Schizosaccharomyces pombe: one gene and its partner. Changing the gene in region 1 together with any one later gene gives a genetic interaction. Each region holds a gene or a part of one and is shown on either strand. Other genes may lie near its edges.

Evidence for each region.
Region 2: of trk1 (region 1) and hal4, extra expression of one rescues a mutant of the other (dosage rescue), as found in Schizosaccharomyces pombe (one study listed by BioGRID).

What each region holds. Positions count from the first base shown.
Region 1 is NC_003424.3:2,817,236-2,822,706, reverse strand, and holds trk1 (plasma membrane potassium ion transmembrane transporter Trk1), read left to right. Parts: upstream 1-1,635; 5' UTR 1,636-1,925; coding exon 1,926-4,451; 3' UTR 4,452-4,521; coding exon of another isoform or gene 4,522-4,629; 3' UTR 4,630-4,669; downstream 4,670-5,471. Other genes in the region: glycine--tRNA (Gly) ligase Grs1, read right to left, coding at 1-1,221; MCM complex subunit Mcm5, read right to left, coding at 4,522-4,629, 4,670-5,042, 5,084-5,471. UniProt on the Schizosaccharomyces pombe protein: Together with TRK2, defines the major, high-affinity potassium influx transport system. Involved in maintenance of the proper sodium/potassium ratio in the cell and in regulating the plasma membrane potential.
Region 2 is NC_003424.3:5,113,105-5,118,237, reverse strand, and holds hal4 (serine/threonine protein kinase Hal4), read left to right. Parts: upstream 1-1,603; 5' UTR 1,604-1,823; coding exon 1,824-3,734; 3' UTR 3,735-4,325; downstream 4,326-5,133. Other genes in the region: serine--tRNA (Ser) ligase Srs1, read left to right, coding at 1-712; fun14 (integral mitochondrial outer membrane (MOM) protein), read right to left, coding at 4,542-4,757, 4,869-5,096. UniProt on the Schizosaccharomyces pombe protein: Promotes K(+) uptake, by the potassium transporter trk1-trk2, which leads to the subsequent cellular resistance to toxic cations such as Na(+), Li(+) and Ca(2+).

The DNA of each region.
Region 1 (5,471 bases):
CTCTTGAACTACTAAAGGAGTCTTGGTAGCTTTACTGTGAACGCTAAGATCATAGGCACTACGATCAGCGCAACCTACACACTCGATCCAGCCGTAAGAGCATTGAATTTCGGCATCCCAGCAATCGCAAGCATAATGAGCCATTTCATTGCTCATATGTTGCCTAAAACGAACACGGTTCATATCAATACCAATTTTCTCCAAGAATAAGCTGATACGGGCCATAAAATAACCTAATGTAGTGTTATCAACAATTCCTTTCTTGACAGCATCACCTATGGGCATTTCCAAAATGTCAGTCTTTCCTTCTAATTGGACACCACGGGGCAACAAACGAAGGGGCATATGAGAAACCTCGTCAAATCTATCATGCTCTTTGTTTTTAGGATCGACAAAGTGTTCGACTTCGGCCATCAAAAACTCACGAACACGAAGCAGGCCACTCCGAGGAGAAATCTCATTACGGAAGGCTTTACCAACCATAGCACTGGCAAAGGGAACTTTGCCGTTATTAAACTCCAATAAACGGCTAAAGTTTAAAAATTGTCCTTGGGCAGTTTCAGGTCGGAGGTAACCTTTCAGACCACCACTGGGACCAATTTGAGTTTCAAACATTAAGTTGAACTGACGAGGGGTTTCAAGCTCACCGTTGGTTGCAGGGTTACGAATGTCATACTTCTTCATGAGCTCACCTAATTGATCTCCATCATAGTTGTCAATTTGGGCAAGAATAAACTCGTATTCCTCAACAGTCTTGTCATCCAGACGAGTCGCACGAATTTCCTTTACCTTCTTCTTACGCTTCTTCTTGTCATCAGATTCTTCAGGCTGGTCATTGGAATTCTGCCCACGAGCTTCCTTGTCACCCTTCAAACGGGCTTCCAAAACCTCTTCAACCAAGTGGTCGGCACGAAAGATTTCACCGGTAGCAGGGTCCTTACACATCCAATCTGCAAACTTATCAACATGCCCACTAGTCTTCAAAACTTCATGAGGAGTAAGCATGGAGCAATCAACCTCCAGCATGCTTTCTTCGATAACAAAGTGCTTTCGCCAAATATCAACCAGATTAGATTGAAGTGCACTACCTGGTGGGCCATAATCATACAATCCACTAATTCCACCATAGATTTGAAAAGAAGGAGAGAAGAAGAATCTCTTCTTCATTAACTCCTCGAACTGAGTTCGATCAAAAGCTGCTGCCTTTGAAACTTCTGTCATTTTTCTACTGAAAATCCGTTTAGCAAAGGCTGTGCAAGAAGAACGAAACGCTTGAAAAGAAATTATGCAAGCAAGGAGCGAAAAGCTTTAAAATGCCTGCTTTTCGCCTGGTTTTCAAATGTTTACGGAAGATAAACTGTTCAAAGCTAGAAATTTTGCTAGTTCGTAAAATTCATAGATAGTGCATTTTGTTAGGCTACATCAATTCATATTATGCGTTGTTATGCGAACTTTTGGACTTTCCTTAATTTAAATACGGTACCTGTAAAAAGTACTTGAACACTCTAAATCTTGTTAACATTTTTTACGGAACAACAACGATTTATGTTAAAGATCGTCAACAATCTCACTTCACTGCCCAAAGCGTACAACATGGTCGAAGTATAGGCTGAAACTTTGAACCGCTTAGAAACTACCTTCTACGGGAAAGAAGACGCGATTTTACGTTGTATTATAAGAGAGGAATCCTCAAGTATTGTTGAAAGGAATCGTCAAAGATTGGGTAAAAATGTCGTTTGTCATTTGTCATAATTCCCTTTTAGAAATTTAGTGGTTTCCTCATCAGTATCGCTTTTACCCGTAGATTTCAAAACTAATTGCTTCTTATCTTGTCCATAGTTAAGGATTTCCGTTAACTTCAAACCAATTTCTCTGTTTCTTGTTCTGTTGTTGGTGGGTTTGGCTGGAAGTATTGACTAAAATAAATGGTCCTAAATTACATTCAAAGATGGTTCAAGTGGGTGATACCAACTTTTGGATTCTTGGCAATTCATTATATTTACATTATATCCTTAACTATCATTGCCTCTATCCTACTTTTTACCGGAGGGACCACCACGAAAATCAAGTATATCGATGCTTTATTCTTAGCTAGCAGCGCAACTACCCAAACAGGCCTTAACAGTGTTGACTTAAATTCTTTATCTATCTGGCAGCAGTTTATCCTGTATGGATTTACTGCTATTACGGTTCCTATATGGATGCACGGAAGTATTTCCTTCATCCGGCTGTATTGGTTTCGACGAAAATTTAAAGACGTTGTTCGTCAAAATCGTACTCGAAAATTTCAGAGAAAGCTCCGTAAAAGCTTAATGAAAAAAAGCGAGGATGACGAAGAACAGGGTGTTCGTGGTAGAAAAATTCGTGTAATGTTACCATACCTACATTCACTAAGGAGTCCAACGTCTCTAAAAAACTTCTCGAGATTTGACACGCATGACAGTACGAACAATCCGTACTTTCCTGACAACCCCCCTTCTCCCAAGGCAGATATATCTAAAGACGAGTATTTTGGAAAGTATCTCCCAAAAAAGTCTGATACGCTAGACATGGATTTGGAAAGTCACAACATGACTTTTCATGACTATGAACCTTCCATTGAAAATAAAAATTACGATTTTGGTAGTTCGCATTCAGCCTCGATGCAAATGTATGAAATGGATGACCTTCATCCCCGACTTCGTAGACAAAGCTCTTTTATTTCCTCCGTTAATCCTTTAGAGGCTGACGACACCCGTGAAACTTTATCTGAAGGCGCCTTAGTTCAGGAATCTCTCCCTATGGCTTATAGTTATTCTGATACTAATTTGGTTGTATCGAGGGATTCATTTACTCTCACTGGGGACGACAATCTTTTCCCAGAAGGTGGTTTAAGGCCTGCCAATACAATAGACGGAATAGTAAGGTCGTCTCTGTCTTCTTCCTCCCTATCTAAAGACACTGAACCATCGACAGTTGACATGCATATTGCTTTCACCGGACTTAATAAGCCCACCATAGAGCGTGAACGTAATCTTAAACTTAGAAAAAAAAGTCGTTTTTATAAAAAATCTTTACGTTCCAGATTTTCGCGAGGACTTCATCGTCCAATACGTTGGACAAAGTCATTCACTTCTAACCGACGAAACTTGACTCTTGAACGAGTCCTTTCTTCTGCCTTTGCTAAAAAACGTGAGCCTTCTATTTCATCAAGACACACTACTATGTCACTTCCCTATTTGTCGTATAATCCTACTGTCGATCGTAATTCTGCTTTCGTTGCTTTGTCTAAAGAACAGCGGGACGAGCTGGGTGGAATTGAATATAGAGCTTTGAAATGCGTCTGCTCCATGGTTACCCTTTATTTTATCATTTTTAATATTGCTGCCTTTGTGACCTTCATTGTTTTTGCTTATACGGCAGTGGGATCGCGAGAGGTAATAGATTCTTATGACTTACGTCGTGGGTGGTGGGCGTTATTCTCGTCTGCTTCTTCATTTAATGATTTGGGGTTTTCTTTAATACCATCGTCTTTTGTGCCAATGAATCGAAACATTTTTCTTTTGTTGATTTCATCTTTATTCATTATCGCAGGTAACACGGGATTCCCTTGTTTTTTTAGAACATTCATTTGGACAACGTATAAGCTATACCCTTTTAGTTTTGAGAAGAAAGAAGCTATGGCATTTCTCCTTGATCATCCTCGACGATGTTTCACTTTATTGTTTCCATCTGGAGCAACCTGGGTCTTGTTTTTTGTTTTGCTGCTGCTTAATGTCATTGATCTGGTATTGTTCATGGTCTTAGATACTGGAAGTAAAGCAGTCGCTAGCCTTCCTAAAGGTATTAGGGTTGTAAATGCAATATTTCAATCAGTTTGTACAAGAACCGCAGGATTCACGAGTGTATCAATTAGTGAACTTCACCCAGCAGTACTGGTCAGTTACATGGTTATGATGTATATTTCTGTTTATCCAGTTGCTATCAACATGAGAAATACCAATGTTTATGAGGAGCGATCTTTGGGTGTTTACAGAACTGAAGATGATGAGGGGAAATCTTTCTTAAAAGATCACCTTACTGAACAATTAAGTTACGATTTATGGTATATTTTTCTAGGGCTATTCATCATATGCATTTGTGAAGGAGGTAAAATCTCCAATCCTCTAGATACCGATTTCAGTATTTTTACTGTCCTTTTTGAAGTAGTCTCTGCTTACGGTACGGTGGGACTTAGTACTGGATTAAGCTCCTCAAATTGTTCACTTTCAGCAAGATTTACTACTATAAGTAAACTAGTTATTATAGCACTTGAACTGCGCGGTAGACATAGAGGTTTACCCAGGGCTGTTGATCGAGCCATCCTTCTTCCTTCTGAAAAAAATAATCTGAAAGAAGAAGAAGATTATCAACGTCGTCACGGATTTTCCATAGACAACGCACGTGGCAGTATTGCAGTTTCTCGAGACTGATATTTCTTATCACGATCATGTATTATATTTGTAAATTATATCATCTAATAAATAGTACGCTCGCTAAATTTCATACTCCTGATCGATACACCGTTTGTCCGCCATTTCTGAGTTGAATTGTTTCCTTCGACGAAAGAATTTGTAAAGCCATTTCTAACGCGTGTTGTGAATATCCATGCTAAAATTATGTTAGACTTAGATTTAATCAATAAACATACCCCATTTACGTATTCTCGTATAAGCATACGGTAACTCGCCTGAAACCCTATAGGTAACCTTTTTCTTAAGCTGGCTTCAATTTTTTTTACTTCCTCAGTAACTTCAGGCGAACTTTGTGTAGCAGCAGCAAGTGTACTGGTCAAAAACAGTCGAATCGCTTCAGTAGCGTGAGCTTCAGAAGCAATAGGTGATAATGACATTTTTGCAAGGGATTCAGTAATTCGTATGATTGCCTCTAATTGACGAACAGTGATTGGAATGGTAGAACGCGAGTTACTGTCCTGCTCTGACTGATGAACACGTTTTCGAATTGCGACAAATTGACTAGATAGCTTTTCAGCTGCCTCTGCATCAAGATTAGGTGCACATTTGCTAAATCCATTAGTAACTAATATTAAATTTGGTATACTTACTGTCTACAATAGTTTATGTACCGCCGAAACTTATCAAAAGGAATTTCTCCAATTGCTAAAGTCTCACTAGATTCTTGTAAATTGGTATGAAGATTAATAACGTGACGGGCAATATTTCGATCCTTTGTTTCATCATGTTCATCCTTAACAATAAATATCATGTCGAATCTTGAAAGAATCGTAGATTGAAAATCAATGTTTTCACCTGGTGTCTTCATATCATCGTATCGGCCAAAAATTGGATTAGCAGCAGCTAAAACGGATGTCCTAGAATTCAATATAGTAGTGATACCGGCTTTAGCTATTGAAATAGTTTGTTGCTCCATTGCTTCGTGAATAGCAACACGATCTTCATCCCTCATTTTATCAAATTCATCAATACAGACAA
Region 2 (5,133 bases), 2.3 Mb from region 1:
TCAGTTAGAGCAATTCGATGAAGAGCTTTACAAAGTAATTGATGGTGATGAGGAACGCTATTTGATCGCTACCTCCGAACAACCTATTTCTGCCTACCATAGCGGTGAATGGTTTGAAAAGCCTTCTGAACAGCTCCCTCTTAAGTACGCTGGATACAGTACTTGTTATCGTCGTGAAGCAGGGTCCCATGGACGTGATGCTTGGGGTATTTTCCGCGTTCATGCCTTCGAGAAGATTGAACAATTTGTTCTTACCGATCCTGAAAAGTCATGGGAAGCTTTCACCGAGATGATCAACCATGCTGAGGACTTTTATAAGTCTTTAGAATTGCCTTATCGTATCGTTGCCATTGTTTCTGGTGCTTTGAACAATGCTGCTGCCAAGAAGTATGATTTGGAAGCTTGGTTCCCTTTCCAAGGAGAATACAAAGAGCTTGTTTCTTGCTCAAACTGTACCGATTATCAATCTCGTAACTTGGAGATTCGTTGTGGTGTAAAGAAGATGGGCGATCGTGAAAAGAAGTATGTTCACTGCCTTAACTCTACTCTCTGTGCTACTGAGCGGGCACTTTGCTGTATACTTGAAAACTACCAAACTCCTGATGGTGTAAATGTACCTAAGGTGTTGCAACCTTATATGGGAGGTAAAACTTTCCTTCCATTCACCAAGGAATTACCCAAAAATTCTACCTCCAAGAAGGGAAAGAATTAATTGGGTGAAGGTTAGTTGGATTAAATAAATAAGATATCTTCTACTGTTCCGGATTATACCGTCATTATTGTGCGTTTGATGGATTTTGTAAATAAGATGTATGTTGTTTGAATCGAATTGTTCCCTTCCCGTGTACGAAAACGAAAAAAAACCCTTGGTAAAAGACAAATATTTTTTTGTAACTTTACATTTTCCTGGGATAGCAATAGAACTTTTTTAGAAAATAAAATTACGACCAAAATACAATGAATGTCTCGATTATATGTCAAAATGAGTACATACTATTGACTACGGGGTCGTAGCAAGAAACAACAATATGCGACCCCAAAAAAAAAAAAGAAGAAGATGAAAGAAATTAATTAACACAATTTATTTTAAGATAGAAGATTATCATCTGTCTTGTAACAAAGCATTATTAAATGTTTATTTCCTTGCTTTACCGACTGGCTTCACCTTAATTACTAAGTTGTACTAAATTCTGACATTTATGGTACACGCTATTTTGGATTGTGTTTTCTTTAAATTTTTTTGCACTATTTTTATTATTTGTTTGCGAAAATTTTTCACAGTAAACACTTTAGCGTATTATATTTTGTTTTGTTATTGATTACACAATGCATTAAAGCATTTTTTACACAATCTTGGTATAGCAATTTTATGCACTTCCACTCTTTATCTTTGATAGCAAAGCTGACGATTGTATTCTTTTATCTCGTAGCCCCCAACGTTTGCTCATAATAACGCATCTTCCGTTGACATCTTAATAAGGTTGTGGCTACGTTCCTCAACAGAGTTACCTATTAACGTGGCTGTAATTCTCATATTAAAGGGTTCGTTGCAGTGTATTAAGCAGAAGGCTTTAGTGAGAAGGTTGGGTGAATGGGGTCATCCGTTAGCAACATACCGAAAAGTATTGGCAAATAGAGAAAGTCAGTAGTTGGCGGCTTTTAGGGCTCTAAACTGCCTGTATTCTATTTCTTAATAGTCTCTAAGAGATTTATATCTCTATTTTTAAAGGAGACTAACCGAGAATCCTCCGTAACCCAAGTTTGTTCGCGAAACGAGTCGTGCATTCATATTTAGGTGAAAAAAATTTTTCATCAGCTAAAAAATGGGTGAAAAAGACAAACTCCACGAAATTTCAAGCAAATTTGCTTCCTTAGGGCTTGGGTCGCTGAAGTCAACCCCTAAAGCTCGTGAAACGACAGAACCTCCTCCGCCATCATCTCAGCAACCTCCAAGCACTCCAAATGGCAAAGAAGCTGCTTCTCCAAGTGCTTTAAAACAAAATGTCCGTCCTTCCCTTAACTCTGTGCAGCAAACTCCTGCATCGATAGATGCAGTGGCCTCTTCTTCCAATGTAAGCCTGCAATCTCAGCAGCCCTTATCTAAACCTGTCGTTTCATCCAAACCTAATCAAACCACTGCAATGCCACCTCCTAGCAATAACCCATCTCGCCATGTTAGCTCTACTTCAAACAAACCAGCAGCCGTCTCTCCTAATCCAGCAGCGCACCATGCAGAGTTGCCCTCTGGGTCCGTTCCTCCTTCAGCTTCTGTATCCCGAGCAAACTCAACTGCTACCACTACACCTCACAAAGCTGGTGTCGTCTCTAATCCAGCGGCAGCTAACGTTCACGTACTATCTGTAGCTGCCTCTCCTAATCCTTCTACGCCTTCCAACGGCCCAGCACCTGTTTCCACTACAGCAACACCATCTAGAAATCCAGTCACTCGTCTTCAACGTATTTTTTCACAAAACTCTGTATCTCGCCAAAACAGTCGAACTGGTCGAGGCGCAGCTGTTGCAAATACTGAGGAAACGAATAGCACAGGTGGTAGTGAAACAGGTGGTGCTGCTAATAGTTCATCTACTTCAAATCCTTCCTCTGCGAAGTGGTCTCGCTTTACTGTTTATGACGATGCAAGTCATACGCATCAATTAAGGCCTGCTCGTCGGCAAGAGAAGCTTGGTAAGATGTTAAAAGACTTCCTTGCCGGTAACAGTAAAAAGCGTGAGGAAGAGAGGATAGCTAAAGAAGCTGCTGATGCACAGCATCAACTCAGTCTTGTTCAATCATGGATCAACGGATATGGTCAAGAAAAGCTTGCTGACAAAAAAGATCCCGCTAAAGTTTCTGCAAGTTTTGTAGAGAAATATGGTCGCTGTCAGGAGGTTATTGGTCGTGGCGCTTTTGGCGTTGTTAGAATCGCACATAAAGTTGATCCTCAAAACTCCGGCTCTGAGACATTGTATGCCGTTAAGGAGTTCCGTCGAAAGCCTGCCGAGTCTCAAAAGAAGTATACAAAGCGCTTAACATCTGAGTTTTGTATTTCTTCTTCATTGCGACATCCAAACGTGATTCATACATTAGACCTGATCCAGGACGGCAAGGGTGACTATTGTGAAGTGATGGAGCTTTGTTCGGGAGGCGATTTGTATACGCTTATCATGGCCGCCGGTCGTCTAGAGCCTATGGAAGCTGATTGTTTTTTCAAACAATTGATGCGTGGTGTTGATTATTTGCATGATATGGGTGTGGCTCATCGTGATTTAAAGCCGGAAAATTTGTTATTGACCGTTAGCGGAAGTCTAAAAATCACTGATTTCGGTAATGGTGAATGCTTTAGAATGGCCTGGGAGAAGGAGGCTCACATGACATGCGGCCTCTGTGGATCCGCACCCTACATTGCTCCAGAAGAATATACAGAAAGTGAATTTGATCCACGCGCAGTAGATGTCTGGGCTTGTGGTGTTATCTATATGGCCATGCGTACCGGTCGACATCTTTGGCGCGTTGCCAAAAAGAGTGAAGACGAGTATTACTCCAGATATCTGATGGATAGGAAAAACGAGAGCGGTTATGAACCTATCGAAATGCTTGAACGTTCAAGATGCAGAAACACTTTGTACAACATTCTTCATCCCAACCCAACTTACCGCCTGACAGCAAAACAGATAATGAAGAGTGAATGGGTTCGTTCCATCACTCTTTGTGAAGCTGGCAATGCTGGTCTGTAAGTAGAGAGTAGGATTTAAAAGTTACAAATCATGACATTCGAAGCTTTCTAAGCTGTTCGAAAATGAGGATTTACTATTGTTACTGTCTTGATTAAACTATGTTTACATGCATAATTTAATTGTATTGAAAGACTTTTGTTTTTTTATTGCATTCACTCTAGAAGGGCGAAGGGATGGGTTTGATCGTGAAACGCGTCACAAATTATTCATAGTTTGACACAATGCCAAGCGCTATTCAACAATCGCTTGTGTTTGTCTATTTTAACTTTATTACACCTCATGTGGTTTCAACACCGGCACTCCAATTGCCAAGAGGAAAGGGAGAGAGTTGGTGTTTAAACTACATATTTTGGGTATATGTATATATTTTTAAAGAATTCTTACATTAAAGCTTTATATTACGTTCGTTATCATTTTTATATGTACACTAGTGAGCGTGGTGTCTGTGATTTGTTGCATGCACTAGTAAGTCACTTTTTAACTAAACCTAGAAAGTTATGAGCACGGAGCTGACATATCTGAGTTACTTCCACTGTCTAAGACATTAGTGTGTGCAGCTACTTAATAATTAAATTCGGTACCAAAACAAAGAAAATCGTGTTGATTGGTTAATGAATGAAAACTCAATTATAGTTAGATAGATGCATATGAAAAGTAAGCTTCTGAACAGGAGCGTGAGCAAAATGTTTCACTATTGGTAGTATAGAACGAACGTTGGGGTTCAAAGGAATCATAGGAATTGAGAGGAGTGCGAGGGCTGAACAATGTATCAAAATCGAAATGTGTTGTGGTGAAATTCAGCCACTTTTATGATGACACAAATCCAACATACATAGCTGAAAAGAAGCTCAGCTTGAAATTGGGGTTTGTACAGATCCAATTACGAATGGTAGGAAATGTTGATTGAGTATTAAACCTACCTGAACTTGGGAAATGAAATCCAGTATACTGCTCCGTAGGACCTATAACTTGTTGCTGCAGCTGGGGCCAATTAATTCGGATCAGACCTTTACTGTTAATATACTAATAAACGTATTGTGTTAGTATTATGAAAGATAAATACGATTTTCAGTGCGAAACACAAGGTTTTTAAAACCTCTAAATATAAATAAAGAATCAAACTTAAGCACTTACAGCAATGGTAGCGAAAACGGCGGAGCAGGCAACGATGAATAAACGGCCCAATTTTCCTAAAGCAAATCCGGCTGCTAAACCAAGAGAGCTTCCAATAAAGATTTGACGGTAATTCAGCTTAAATTGAGAGGTGATAGTAGTTGCAGCACTTGCCGAATCTTCACACAAGACTGGGCGAAATGGGTGAAACCTGTGCAAGAATCCTCTTCCTAGAAGTAAACAATTCATTATGTGAGAGTAAAAAATAAAGAAAAATAATAGAAAA